Linked DNA regions of Drosophila melanogaster. The gene in region 1 interacts genetically with each later gene. Each region holds a gene or a part of one and is shown in the gene's direction. Other genes may lie near its edges.

Evidence for each region. Genes that interact genetically often act in the same process or in processes that back each other up.
Region 2: of pros (region 1) and dpn, changing one suppresses a phenotype caused by changing the other (phenotypic suppression), as found in Drosophila melanogaster (one study listed by BioGRID).

The regions. Positions count from the first base shown.
Region 1 is NT_033777.3:11,325,089-11,332,172, forward strand, and holds the start of pros (prospero), read left to right. Parts: upstream 1-3,391; 5' UTR 3,392-4,868; intron 4,869-7,084. UniProt on the Drosophila melanogaster protein: Homeodomain protein that controls neuronal identity. As a transcriptional factor, regulates the expression of ftz, eve and en in a subset of neuroblast progeny and modulates the transcriptional activity of other homeodomain proteins such as Dfd.
Region 2 is NT_033778.4:8,227,079-8,235,028, reverse strand, and holds dpn (deadpan), read left to right. Parts: upstream 1-2,698; 5' UTR 2,699-2,980; coding exon 2,981-3,106; intron 3,107-3,334; coding exon 3,335-3,430; intron 3,431-3,440; exon of another isoform or gene 3,441-3,925; intron 3,926-3,963; exon of another isoform or gene 3,964-4,526; coding exon 4,527-5,612; 3' UTR 5,613-6,058; downstream 6,059-7,950. Other genes in the region: CG34217 (uncharacterized protein), read left to right, coding at 6,414-6,830. UniProt on the Drosophila melanogaster protein: Transcriptional repressor of genes that require a bHLH protein for their transcription.

The DNA.
Region 1 (7,084 bases):
GGCAACTGTACCGCTTGACACTTGGCAGGACCTTCGGCAGACAAAGGACTAAGCGGCAGACCCTTTCCGCTGCCAGCCTCTTCCTTTCACCGACATCGCTGATTGCATTTGCTGCAACATTTTTCGTTTGGTTTTGTTTGCCTTGCATCCCATTTGATGGGTGGGGGGGGAGGGGGTGTCCAGGGAAAGGATGCAACTGCTGCACTGGTGCAATCTCCTGGCATTCGAATGGACTTTTGTTGTCGTCGTCCAAAATGCAGCTGTCGCGATGCATGACCTCCCTGCCATCCTGCTACCCCTTCCCCTACCACCTCTGCCTCATGCTGCTGCTGCTGCTGCTCCTGTTGCGCCCGCTTGTTTAGTTTTTCGCGCAATTTTCCGCGCTGCTTTTGTCATTTTCGGGGGTTTTTTCCATCCTGCCAGCCCGCCAGCCTTTTAGGCGATATTTTCGTTATATAAAGAGCCCTGGACACGGACCCATGCTTTTAGCCAAAGGCCAGCGCATGCAAATGCAACTGCAACTGCAGCAGCATCAGCAGCAGCAGCATCACCATCGCTTTGGGGAATATGCAAATCAGCCATCAGCAGCAACTGCAGCTGCAGCAACAAAAGGCTCAAACTAGAAATGCTTTATGTGGGCATTCTGGTTGGGGGATTGCATCTCCCTCGCAGCCCCCACACTCTGCAATGGAAGGCGAGCGCATAATTGATGCTTTTCGGGCCGCGACCAGCTTTGCACGTCCATTAATTTGCTATCGAATTGCTCTCAACTAATTGAACGGCAGCATAATGCGAATTTAATGAAGATCGCAGTTGGTTTAGAAGTGGAAAGGGGGGATGGGGGGTAAGCTGATGACTGATTAGAAACCAGATAGTAACAATTTGATACAACAATTGTTTATGTTGGCAGGCTTATGTAATCATTCAAAAATGGGATGTGAATATTGTATGTTTAAATAAACCAATGTTGATGCATTCGATATGCTCATATGAACCTCAAAAAAGTATATATGCTTAATTAAAACCCATGCTGAGCGAAATACTTTTTCAGATCATATATATATCTGGTTATATGGATATGTTCTTTGCTGCATTAAAAGCGTAATTTTAAGTAGCAAGCCAAGCGAGCAATGCCTTAAGGGAATGCATATAATTTGATGTAACTTGCATATGTAGATCAGTTATTTAAATCGGTTGAAATCGAAATGCCCTAGGAATTCCAGGTCTATTCGACTTTTAATATGATTTCTGCGCATAGTCATCAGCTGCCTGCTGCGGTCCGCGAGCTCATTAATTAATGATGACAGGATGGACAGGACTGATGGCTCGTTGGGCAGGGAGTTGGAAACCGCAGCTGGTGGCAGTGGGCCTACTGCACGCCACCACCTTTGTATTTGTGCATAACAACTTATGAATCCATAAGCTATCTGGCAATCTCTTTATGAGCAGCATTCCCAATTTCTCTCTGATATCCTGCGAAGGCCAACCAAACCATACCGAACCATAGCAAACCAAACCAAAACCATATCGAGCCCGAAGCAAAAGCAGAACGGGCACAGTGGCAAAGTCAATAGCCAATGCCATCGATAAAGCCATAAACTTCATGTACTGGGTGGAGATTGTGGGTGCTGCTGTTCCTATCCGGCCTAAACTGCGCCATCCCAGACCTGTGCCCGCGTTCTATCCATTTCCGGGAATACGCGGCGTATGAGTAACGAGCGCGATGCGTAGGATTAAATGCAGGCGCTGCCTAGTTCCGATCTGTGCCTCCTCGTCTATATATCACTGATATACATATATATAATATATATATACATATATATATGTACATATATATGGACACATATATCTCTGAGCACGTACATAGAGAATTGCAGTGGCTGTCGCTGCACTCGCCCACCAATTTTTCTCCGCTTTTTTGATGCGCTTTCCCAGAACCCCCATGTGCATGAGTTAGTAGGAATTTATGCTGGCTCTATTATTGTTGCTCTTGTTGTCGCGGATCCTTTTTGGCGGGGTATGAGTGCGGACGACGCTCTACATTTTTTTCAGCTGCAGTTTTCTTTGCTGGATATTTTAATGCCAACTCTGACGATATACCAATACCAGTGCCAATAACCAACACCCATAAATGGCGGCAAAATAAAATAGGAAAAAAATGTGTGTTGCATTCGCGCAGGGGCAACATAGAAAACTTTTACGTTTCGCTTAGGGTTTTGCTTTATTTTTTGCTTTCAGGTTTCCCTCTTCTTTTTTTGCGATTTTCATTTTGTTGCTTTGGCATTGCAAATGAAAACGAAAAAATTGCATTTTCCCCGCATATGGATGTGTGTGAGAAGCACGAAATCAAAACAAAACATGGCCACATGGCGGGTCCTGTCGGCTGGTGGGTGTGCGGATGGGATGTATGGATGCATGGACGGATGGGGCACATGAACAGTGCACAGCCAGGAGCAACAGCTCCCACAGCTGCCACACTACCTCCCTGCAGATGTATCTGTATCTGCGAAATGGTATGGTCCATCTGGCGGGAAAAGGGGCTGGGTTTTAGGTACACTTAGGCTCGATAGCTGCAGTTTTTCGCCACCCAGTCAGCGAAACAGACCACCACGCAGTTGCCCAGTCCAAAAACCACCTCATCAGTCGTTTGGGGGTTTGGGTGTTCCATACTTTTTGGCGTTGTTTGATTTTTAGGCGCAGCAAAATGCGTTTTGCTCTTGATTGAAAGTGTGAAGAGTGTGGGGCAGCATGCCAGCGTGTGTGTGTGCGATATGTGCATTGTCCGTGTCCTTCTCGCAGTGTGCATGTATTGGCGAGGACGCCGCTGCCGCTGTCGTCGCGCTTTGTTTTGATTTTTCGCGACTGAGCGCGCGTTGCTGTCTGTTTCTCTCTGTGTTTTTGGATTTGTCCAGCAATGCATATGTGCGCCCACTGTTCTAGTGGGTGTGTGTGTGTGTTTGTGGTTGTGTGCGAGGTTTGCATGTATATGTACACTAGCAGCTAGGAGCGGCGCTGACGTCGCAGTCGCAGCAATTTTTTGCGCCAAAGCCAAACCAAAAAGGACGAGGACAATTCGGTTGGCGCTGCAGCTGCGACGTAGCCGCGGAATTTTTTTGCGCGTTTCGCGCCCGGCCAGCGGCCACTTTCATCCGTATCCACGTATCCAAGTATCCACATCCGCATCATCCTACTCCATCAGCGTTAGCATCAGCGGCCGAGGGGCTGGCGTCCCTCATAATCAACGCGCTGCAGCGACGACGCCATCGACATCGACAGCGGCTCTGGCTTTGGCTTTGGCTCTGTGACTCTGGGGCCCGTCATCGTTAGCAATTTTTGCCAGGACATTGCAACAGAAAACTGCTAAACGCGAAACAAGTTGCGGCGCTTTTTTCTGCTCCTCGGGTTCTCGCTGTCTCCCTGTCCTGGCCTGTCCTGAATCGAACTGAGCCGTGCTGCCAGGATCAGGCAGCAGCAGGCAGCAGACAGCAGGCAAGGCACATCAGTAGGCAGTGCAAGGCAGGCAGGCAGGCAGTCGGCAGGCAGGTCGCCACTTCTCGCAGACTTCTTCGCATCTGCATAAATCAAACCCAGAGGCAGTAGCAGAAGCAGTTAGCCACCCCAAGAAAAAACTCTACAACAGAAAAATACCGAAAAACAAAAGAAAAACAAACAAACAAATAGAAATAGAAAAGAGAGACATCGAAGCAGAGAAACGATAGGAGAACGAAAAAAAGTGCCAAGTGAATGTGAAAGTGAAAGTGTGTGCAAAATGACTTGAAGTGCAAGACTAGACACCTATGTACGTACCACCTACACCACCCAGCCTGGAACACACTACGTATACGCAATGCGGCCCAGGCGCTCATACGCCCCGTTGGCCCGCCAGCCCTTCGAACTAAGACTCGGGCTGGGGCTCGAACAGCCATCGCTCGCCATGCCGTCTTGAGTGCAAAAAATTACCCGCCAAAAACCCAAAAACACACACGGCCGGCTTGCGCCAAAGACAATGTAAGCGCCGGCACTAGAATGTAGAGCAGTTTTTTCTTCATTTCCCAAAACTAACTAACAAAACCAGCCAGCCAACAACAAATAACAAAATAGACAAAGTTACATTTTTACCAATATCGATAATATTAATCACTTGATAATCAGCGCCAGTCAAACGCAACATTTCGTTCGTAAACAACAACTACAACTAGCCACAACAAAGCAAGTCAAAGCCAAGAAGCAACCAAATAAGCAGGCAATACCAGTCAGTCCGTAACGTCAGCAGCAGAAACCAACGAAAAACCAAAATAATAAAGTAAAACGATTGAGTAACTCCAGTTTCAGTACCGCACCGATTCCGATTTGAGCAAAAATTCAAGCGTCTGAATTTGATTTCGATATCGTCTGGCCCGTTCCGTCTTCAAGTCTCGGCCAAAGGTTCGTCATCGTCCCGACACACTCTCAGTTTCTACAAATTCAGACGTAGATCCTTAGTTAATTCACCTTTTGTATTGTGCATTTCGGCAAGCAAATATTTTGGAAAGGATCCCCAGAGAACAAAAAAAAAAAAAGGCGAAGAAGAGCAGAAGTCAACACTCGAAATCGAAAACTACGAAATTACCTGAAAATTTTTAAACAACCAAAAAGTCTATGAATGCAACAAAAATTACACGCTAAATTTTACAAGTGCAAAATTTTCTTATAATAATTTATCAAAAAAATAAAAATAAATTTACAAAAAAAAAAAAAATTAAAAAAGAAGCATAAAAAAACGGAACTTAGTGAGAAAATTAATCAAAGTTTAGAGAGAACATTAAATGCAAACGGAATATCAAAAATTGTTGTGATGTGATATTTTTTCGATGTACTTTTATTTGAGGGTAAGTAAAGATCACTATCAAAAATTCATTTTTCAACCATTACTCCATTCTTTTCATCAATCATTGACTCATTGGGGTTTATTTATCTTTTCAGAATTATAGAATTTAGATAGAGAAATAAGGGAAATAAATACATTCGAAGCGTATATTTTAAGATCTAGGTAATTTAAAGATGTTCTGATTAAGAAAAGTATCTATTATGGGATGCTTGATCATAAGAAAATGATTAACAGTGAGCATTTAACTACTGATCATTTTTGGAAGAGAACGAGAAGAGAACGACATTTAAGACAAATAGTAAATGGATAATATGAGTGTGAAACATTGAGCAGTATTGATTTTCATTAGAAAAATTAGGAAAAGGTTCATTCTTTAATTATAATGTTATCATCTAAGTTAAAATCAATTCAAAGATATACTCTTTTTAAGGCACAAAATCTATTTCACCAACGAAAGAAAGCAGGGCAGTCAAATTTTAGTAACTTAGCTAAACAGCATGTTTATTTCAAAGCGCCAAAATAATAACCATATTAATTGCTACAAGTAAATATTTAAGAGGAAATGTCTCCTTTGGAGTTCCTTAGTTCAGTGGGTCTGAAGATCGCAGAAGTCTTTCTCCGCGATTGAGCTCGGCACTTCCTCCCAAAGTTCTTCGTGTCCTGTCGTCGGGTGACGGCGTTCAGCTGCAGCAGCAACATGCAACAGCATCGTGTTGCTGGTGTGCACGCGGCTCTCCCCAGCAGCAGCAGGTTTAGTTGTAGTTGTAGACTTTTTGCTTTTCTACATCCTCACACACATACAGGCACACAAACGCACACAGCAACAAACACGAGTGCAAGACGCGAAGTTTTGGAGGCATGCACATAATGTAAACAAGGACATGCGCAATGCACCGCGCTGGCTTTCCCCGCTTCCACAACAGGAGAAGTGCATTGCAGGCAATGCAATTGCCAACTAGAAGATAGCAGCAGCCAAAGGGGCAGTGGGTGGCTGGGCAGGATTTTGGTCGCTTTTGGGGGGGGGGGGGGTGTGGTATTGGCGATGGGGTGTTGCTGGGTGGCTGCTTCATTTACCAACGGCTGCACTAGTAAATAGCAGATGGCAGCGAAGTCGGCGTCGGCATCGCTGTCGACGCCAACTTGCCACAGTTTAGATGGGAAAAAAGGAAAACTCCAAAGAGCCAGAGAGAAAGACAGAGTGAGGGAGAGAGAGCGAGCGAGAGTGGGTGAGAAAGAGAGAGCGAGGGCTGCGCAACGAGAGTGGCGAGTGCAGCCGAAAGGATGCAATGCTGCAAGGCAATTGCACTCCAGGACTCTCACACACACACTTACGCACACAAACGCATCCGCAAGCAGCTAGACTGAGGCGGTTGCTTCTTTTTTGGTTGTGTTGTCTCTTTTCGGCTTATTTTTAGAAGTCCTTTGCCCCCTCGCCGGCGCACATCCCACCCCAGCCCCCTTGGCTGCATTTTATTTACTTGACCAGGCCTCGGAAATTTACATGGCCAGCCGTGGGAGGGGGTTGCAGTATCCACAGCAGTAGCAGCAGCTGTTCCTGGAGCCCCAGCACGTGCAGCAAGCAACTGCCCTTCAGCCGCCCAGCCGCCCAGCCACCCAGCCACCCAGCTGCCTGCGTGATTTGTGCGTTGCCAGGATGCTGATGCTGATGATGATGGCGATGGCGATGATGAGGCATCTCGTAATGATCTGGGGCCGGGAAAAAAGGGAGCAGGAGGCGGTGGTGCAGCTGCATTTCCTTGCCAGCAACGCCGTGCGTGGTTGGTCGGCTCGAAAAAGGGTCGGCGGCACTGATGGGGGTTGGGCTGTGATGGGCTGGCTGGATGGATCGAAGTGTGGGCGCGTAGACATTGCGTAGAGTTGGAGCCAATTTTTTTCTATTTCTTGATGGGCAACCTGGTCCGACCGCCTACATCACCCATTCCACCGCCCCCTTTTTGGACCGCGCTTCATTCGCACATCGAGTGGTCAAAGTACATAGATACCCCATGCCCATGTGTCATGTGTGTGTGTGTGTGCTTTTTGCGCGCGCGAACTTTGGCCAAAGGAAAAAAACTTAAACAGAGATGCTTTTACATACGGAGGGGGGGTTTTTTCGGATGGCTCGCTGCATTTTGCGCGTCTGTAGCTTTTTTTGGCGGCCGTCGATGATGGGGTGCGAAGGGTTGGGGCGCGTGGTGTGTTCCCCGGCCTGGTGGA
Region 2 (7,950 bases), on another chromosome or scaffold:
AATCTCCCACAGCAGGAAGAAAAACAATCAAATAGTTGGGCGGCCCGTCACGACTTCTAATGCCCCGCAGACCGCACACTTCACTCAGGTTTCCCCTCGTCGCTAAGCGCCATAAAAATCAACAAGGAATTCATTTAAATCAACATATATCTTGGCCAAAGGAGGAGTTCTTCTCCTGCCCCCGCATCCGTAATCCACTTGGGTTTAGTTCCGTTTGGATCAGTTCACACATTTGCTACCGTTTCATATTTTTCATGCTCATTATTTCTGGTGCATATCTATGTATGTGTATGAATGAGAGGTACGGGGGAGTTGCAGCTAGCACACCCCAAGTAATAACTGCAGTTCCCACAGCTAAAAATACATACCCCCAAAGTCACTAATTTGAGGTTGAGAAAGGTCTCCATCTCCGTCTTAGTCTGCCGGTGCCCTCAGAATTGATTAAAAAAGAGGGAAGTAGATCGTCACTGGTCGACAGATCGAAGCTCCCAACCGACCGGGTGTACAATAAAAATTAAAGTGTTTTAATGTGTAAATCGTGCGTTGGAAACGACGCACCGAGGATCCGAGCCCGGGAAGCCCCAAAAAGGAGGACTGACAGATACAGATACAAGCCTGGCTACCGATCGTCAGCGATCGTGCCACACTAAATGGCGTTTACCTTGATCCCTGGGCCGGGAATAAGAAAAAAAAGGAAAGAAAGAAAGAGGAGAAGCCACAGCAGCAGCGGCGTTTGGGGCTGATATTGAACTTTGATTTCTGACTGGTTTCTTCGTTATAGAATTTCAATTCTCAGTTTCTGAAGAAGCTCTGCAGACTCTGCACGTTTCGCCAGACGATTGATCCACATATGTCGGATGGTTCTGAGGTTTCTTCTCCCTGGCCCATGGCACTTTTACATTTTGCCAGCTCATCGTGCTTATTTCGGGTTTCGTGGGAAAATGTTTGCCAAATTTGCGGCGTTCAAAGGAGCCAAAGTGATCGCCATTAAGCAGGGTGATGTGCTCATCAGTGCAGAATTCAGCCGAACCCCATGGTTTAGTTGCTGTGGATGTTTTAGTTGGTCAATCGTAGCCGTGGCATTTATTCAATTTACGAAAGTTGACATCGGATCAGTGCTGCAGAGCTTGTGCATGATGGATGATCGCCACAGATTATTGCTCAACACGGGATTTACGCTCAGGCCGCGAGGGATCACTTTGCACAACCAGGGTTGCCAGGCGGCGCAATACGTTTACGATCCCACCCAAAACTCCCCAAATCGGTCCATAGGTAGATCTACGTCAGCTGTCAGCTGGCGCATGGCCCGCGTCAGTGGTTATTGACAACTCCTTTGGTCGTAATCCTGCCAACATCGTAAAGTAATAAATTTGCCTGAAAAAGGAAAATCTGCCGGGGATCGACTATAAAAATTGGCCCAGCCAGGTAAGCTCCGTAATGATTGACCCCGACCCTCAGTCCCAGACCCACGACCGATCCAGGTCCGATTCCGATCCATTGCAAGTCGCGATTCCGTCCCGAAACCCAAGCAACCCCCTAAGACGCTTCTGCCGATGAGCCGACCAGGCAAAAGCGAAGAATTTGAAACTAAGGATTTCGCCTTGCAAGGGGGTTGGGTTGTCACGGGGGTTGCGGCAGCTGCGCCGAACAATTGCCAAGGAGTTCTCCTTAATGAATTGCAAATCATTCGCCGGGCATTGATCAAGTTTGTCCTTGCCAAGGGTGAAATCTGTGCGACTAAATGTGCCATCAGCCAGCCACCCAAAAGGGAAACGGACACAAACGGAACATCTGTCGCAAATAATGCTACTCACTGATAACTTATAGAAAATCTCACTTGATACATTTTTTAAGGAACTAAAGATTTTTTGCTTTGCTTTAGCAAATTTCAAGTACTAAAGAAGAATCGCTGTTAATTCTCTGAATATAGTTCATATTTTTGTTAACTATTGCTTTAATCAATTCATTAAAAGTAATAAGCAAGTAAAAAGTAAAAAAAAGTAAAGTAATAATATTCATAAGATTTATAGTAGCTTTGTATAATTATTGCTAAATATATGAATATTCTAAAACAAATAGATTGGGTATTAAGTCGGCTTCGACACGAATTAGAAGATTAAATTCAGTTATAAATTTTTGTTAAATTGTAATAAACTTTAAATTCATTAATGATATGTTATTGATTTTAATGCTTAATTTCCTTCAAAATTATTTAATATACAATGCTTGCTGTATTTTACAATAAAATCAACTAAATTTTGTGGGTTTCGTCAAGCCAAAGGCTAATGACTTGGCTTAACCGAATGTTGTGTTGTTTCTCGATCAGGCTCGACTTAGTCTCGTTTACTTGAGTTAAGCTCCTATTTTCACTAATCCCCTGGAATCCGCAATTCGTTGACTCGGCAACTCTGCCTGCCTGGGAATACCTACTCAAATACTCACTTAAATCTCACTCCGAGTGTGAACTCATTGGATTTGGGGTGGTTATGCACTCACTCACTCTCCGATTGAGCGCAACTGCGCTGCTGCGGTGAAAAGTTCTCAGTCTGCGGACGGCGATCGTTGGGCTGCCTACCTGCCTCAGCTCTGCCTCTGCCGCTGCCCGCGTCGCCAGGTAAGAGAGTCCCTCGGTTTCACTCGTGGACTCGTTTCGGCTTCGACCCGATTCGTTTTTAGCTGGTGCCCGTGGACTCGGAGGATCAGTATCCTTTTGGCATCTCGCGAGCGCGGTCGTCTGCCGCTCTCCTTTGAATGAACATTTAAAATACTATTCTATACGATTCGATAACCAGAACGATCTTTAACGCGTACCGCTTGTTAAGTTTTTGTTGTTCGGACATTACTAAGAAGTACGTGCAATAATTGTTATAACTATTTTCGTACTCGAACCAAAGTTATTGTGTTGTGAAAAAGACCAAATCGAAATCGAACTATCTTGGATTATCTCCCACTTGGATATACAAATTAAAATCGTTACAAAATGGATTACAAAAACGATATTAATTCCGACGACGATTTCGACTGCTCCAACGGCTATAGCGACAGCTATGGCTCCAATGGACGCATGTCCAATCCCAATGGATTGTCAAAAGCAGAACTTAGAAAGGTGAGTTCGCTCTTTTGCGATGAAATTGGACTCGCAAACTAAAAAATAGCAGAGTTTATTAGCACCCTCGATCGTTTTGAACCTTTTCATTTTAATGGCTTAGAAAATGTAAAGCATTAAATTAATTTTAAAAATCAAGTGAAACCCTTGTTTTATATAAACAAAGATATCCCTTAAACTGAAATAAATTCCTACGAAATAAACTAATTGATTCCCTTTCTTTTCTAGACCAACAAACCGATTATGGAGAAACGTCGCCGAGCTCGCATTAATCACTGCCTCAACGAACTGAAGTCCCTTATCCTGGAGGCGATGAAAAAAGACGTAAGTATCTTGCCCGAGCGTCAAAGCAGAAAAGGAGCGGTCCGCCCGCGAATTAGAAACTAGCCCCCGATCCCTTTTGGTTCACTTTCTTATAAATAATGTTAGTCCACAAAAAAAAACCTTTAAGGCACAAGTGTCCGAAGGGCGGCAGAACTACAAAAGAACAAAAAAATGTATAAAAAACGAACTCCTACGACACAAGAACTGAAAAAAAAAACACAAACCAAGGGCTCTAATTGAGTATTAAATTTTATTGATGATCATTACACTAGAGCGCCGACGAGGAGTCAGTCAAGAGACCAAAAAGTGTTAACAAGTCGAGGAATTACGCAGAAATCGCCGGAGATGCGAACGAAACCAGTTTCCAAGGAGTGATCCTGCTGTGAGAAACTACAAAGCAGAAATCAAGTAAAATTTGCCGCCGCAGAATTCTGCAGGAGAGCCGGACCAAAAATCAAATAAGAAAGACATTGAGGGAAAAAAGCAAAAGTAAACAAAAGGTTCAGACAGGGGAGCGGGGGAGGTTGAGGGGGCGGGGCTGGCGAGCGACCTGCGTGGGAACCTTTTGCTAAAATATGCAGTCCCAGCGGCGAGAAAGGGACGAACAATCGGGGACCGAAGACTGGCGAAGATCGCACTGCGCGAAAAAAGAAGATCAGGAAGAACGATTTGGAATCTTCTGTGCCCAAAAAGTCTTCATATGAGATCACAAACGATAAGATCGGCGAGTAGTTTATTTTAGAACCACTTACTAAAGACAGTCACTTTTCCATCATTAGTATTCACTTGCCAGAAAATTTGACTTTAAGCCCCCTTTTTGCTCAGTGCACAGTAGCAAGATCAGTCGTTCTTCTCGCTGGAGTTGCTGAATCTCACCTTGGTCGTGTGATATTTACAGAGTGGACTCGACTGAAGTGGACTGCAGATTACACGCGAATAGTTGGACATATGAGGCACGAAACGTGCTTCTTAACTTCGCTTTTTCCCAAGCTATTGAACTTGTTGTAGGGCCCCAAACAATTAGCCCGACCATCTCCCACCCCATCCCCATTTCATCATTATCTGACTTTGGTTCCTTCGTCTTCTATACTTTTAGCCGGCTCGTCATACCAAACTGGAGAAGGCCGACATACTTGAGATGACGGTGAAGCATCTGCAGTCGGTGCAGCGCCAGCAGCTCAACATGGCCATCCAATCGGATCCCAGCGTTGTCCAGAAGTTCAAGACGGGATTCGTTGAGTGCGCGGAGGAGGTGAACCGCTATGTAAGCCAAATGGATGGCATCGATACCGGTGTTCGTCAGCGGCTCAGCGCCCATCTTAACCAGTGTGCCAATAGTCTGGAGCAGATCGGTTCGATGAGCAACTTCAGCAATGGATACCGTGGTGGCTTGTTTCCCGCCACAGCTGTCACGGCTGCTCCCACTCCGCTGTTTCCCTCGTTGCCGCAGGACTTGAACAACAACAGCCGCACGGAGTCATCGGCTCCGGCCATCCAAATGGGTGGACTTCAGCTAATTCCCTCCCGCCTGCCCTCGGGAGAGTTTGCCCTCATCATGCCGAACACAGGTTCCGCTGCTCCGCCTCCGGGACCCTTTGCCTGGCCAGGATCTGCAGCGGGAGTCGCAGCTGGAACAGCCAGTGCCGCCTTGGCCAGCATTGCCAATCCCACACATCTAAATGACTATACACAGAGCTTCAGGATGAGCGCGTTCAGCAAACCGGTCAATACCTCAGTTCCGGCCAATCTTCCGGAAAACCTCATCCACACACTGCCCGGCCAAACGCAGCTGCCGGTGAAGAACAGCACAAGCCCACCGCTGAGCCCAATCTCCTCCATCTCCAGCCACTGCGAGGAGTCCCGGGCTGCCTCGCCCACCGTGGATGTGATGAGCAAGCACAGTTTCGCCGGCGTCTTCTCAACTCCGCCACCAACCAGCGCGGAGACCTCCTTCAACACCAGCGGATCCCTCAACTTGAGTGCCGGAAGCCACGACAGCAGCGGATGCTCGCGACCGCTGGCCCACTTGCAGCAACAGCAAGTGAGCTCCACCAGCGGAATCGCCAAGCGCGACAGGGAGGCGGAGGCCGAGTCCAGCGACTGCTCCCTGGACGAGCCCTCGTCCAAGAAATTCCTAGCTGGCGCCATCGAAAAGTCGAGCTCCGCTTGGAGGCCGTGGTAGATCAACCGCACAGGCCACTTCTATGTTACGTTTATACATTGTTAATTTATTTCATTGCAATTTTTTCAAAGATCACTTCAATGCTTTAGAACCCCATTAAGTTTCAACGATTTCTATATGTTTTTATGTATCCCCGTTTCGCTTTCTTCATTTTAAGTTCAGCTGTGATTTTGTATATTTTTTGTGTAGTTCTCGTTTAAGCGCTTTATACGACTATTATGTAGTTCATTAAATAATTATGTTCTTTAATGTTTCATTAACTGCTCAAGTATTTAAACAATTAAACGTGTTTCTATTTAAGTTATGTAGTTTTCATTGTATAGCGTTTATCATTAGGTCATTCACGTTTCTATATTAGTGTTTTAATTTAACGATTGTAATTTTAACTTTTAGGTAATGCAAAATTCGATGGAGTGAAAATAATGATAATAAAAAAAAAATGCTGCAAAAGAAAAATCCATCCAAATTTAATGGTTCCTTGGTTCTTAACTGATTAGAATTGGAAAATTCAAGATCGCATCAACAATCAATAGTACTTGAACTCATTGAAAAGTCGGAAGCTGAATTCAAATCAATACGGAAACAGCCTTATCATGTATGTTCGATGTTTTCGCAAAGTTTGATTGAAAAGATAACTCAATCGAAAGCTCCCAATCCATGCTATATAAGCAATAGGCGGAACACATTTAGTGTGTCAAAAACTAAATTATTGCAATCAAGAGCGCGCAGTGACTTTCAGGCGTGCATTGAAAAATCTCAGAAATTATAAAAACAATTTAATTGAAAAATTTTAATTTTACCATGCCAGGAAATCTGTTTCAAGTGTTACTAACTGTGGCGATCCTGCCAGCTATTAGTTTGGCATCTAGTTCTGAAGATGGTCTGCACCATTACCGTGCTTCTCCAAAGCTCACGGGTCCTGTGAAGCTCCTACACGATCCCGAGGACACCATTCTGAACACCTTGGATGGCGCTCTGGAGAAGATCTCCACCATCTACATGCAGGCCTTGTTCGCTGGTACCCACACCCCGGAACTGGAAGCCCCACTCCGAGCCCTCGAAATCGAGTTGTTCGATCTGCTGGACGAGCTCTATAATCAGAATCGTCTCAAGGACTATATAAAGTACGAGGCGGAAGTGACGCGACAAATGATAATCTACAACATGCTGAAGAGATTGTTTGGCTACACACAGGAAAATGAGGCTGGATCTGTCTGAGCTGTAAATTCTAAATATGTTTTCTAATTATAAGTCCTTCATCAATGCAAAAGTAGACGAAGTGAATTTTAATATACCACACCATACTATATACTATTGTATAATGCCTAAAATTCTTACTCATACAAATATTCAAGGTTTTTATTTTTTACTTTCTTATGTTACTTTGGTATTATCTTCGATATTTCAAAATAAAGTTAAAGTAAAGTAAAATTTTTGATAGTCAAGGAAATCGACTATCAAGTTTTTTTTTGTTATCTGTACGATTTCGGGTGATATTGTGGCAAAAGTATGTCCTATGGCCTTTGTATAAAATGAACAATTTTACAGGATTTTAATAAACTTAAGCCCTAGAAATAGAATGCGTTAATATACATATCTTTTTTATAATAATAATTTATTAATAATGAAATAGCAATAAATAATTATTTTGCTAACCGTTGGTTAGCAAAACCACTTGGCTAACAAAACATCCGTGTTAGAATTGACCTAAAGTGTTCATTGTGATCTCTTAATGAAAATGATTGAATAAGGTATCCAGATACAAATAGATTTACATCCTCATATCCCATTATTAATTTGTAGTTTCCACTTTAATGCCTTTCCCTTTCGACCCTTTTTTAATTTTTCTTCACAATTTGATTTCACTTCCGTAATAACTTCCGCAACAGCCTGTTCTCGTCCTGCGGCTGCCTTGCGTGTGGCTGTCGAGTGTCGCCCCGCCGTTTAGGGACTCGGATCCTCCAACATTTCGATCCCAGTACTTCCCACACTCAATCATATCGGCGCTGCTGTTACCCGATCCTGCTGTGAGAAAGGAACAACACCTTCGCCGAGCGATCAAAAATTATCATAATTTCCATTTCCTTTTACGCTATTATCCTTTTGCATTTCCCAATACCGATGCACTTGCTCGTTTGTTTCCCACACATCCTTGAGATCCCTTATCTGTGCTTGTTTGCTTTGTGGTGGTTCGCATTTCCCCCACCGCTGGCCTCCTTGCATTCCACTTGTCTCGCTGGATCCTTCGGTTTCATTCCTTTGTGCGCTGTGTGCGCAGTGTTTGCTGTGATTTGATGCTGGGATCGGAATCCTGTGCGTTTTCCGTGGGGTTTCGGCT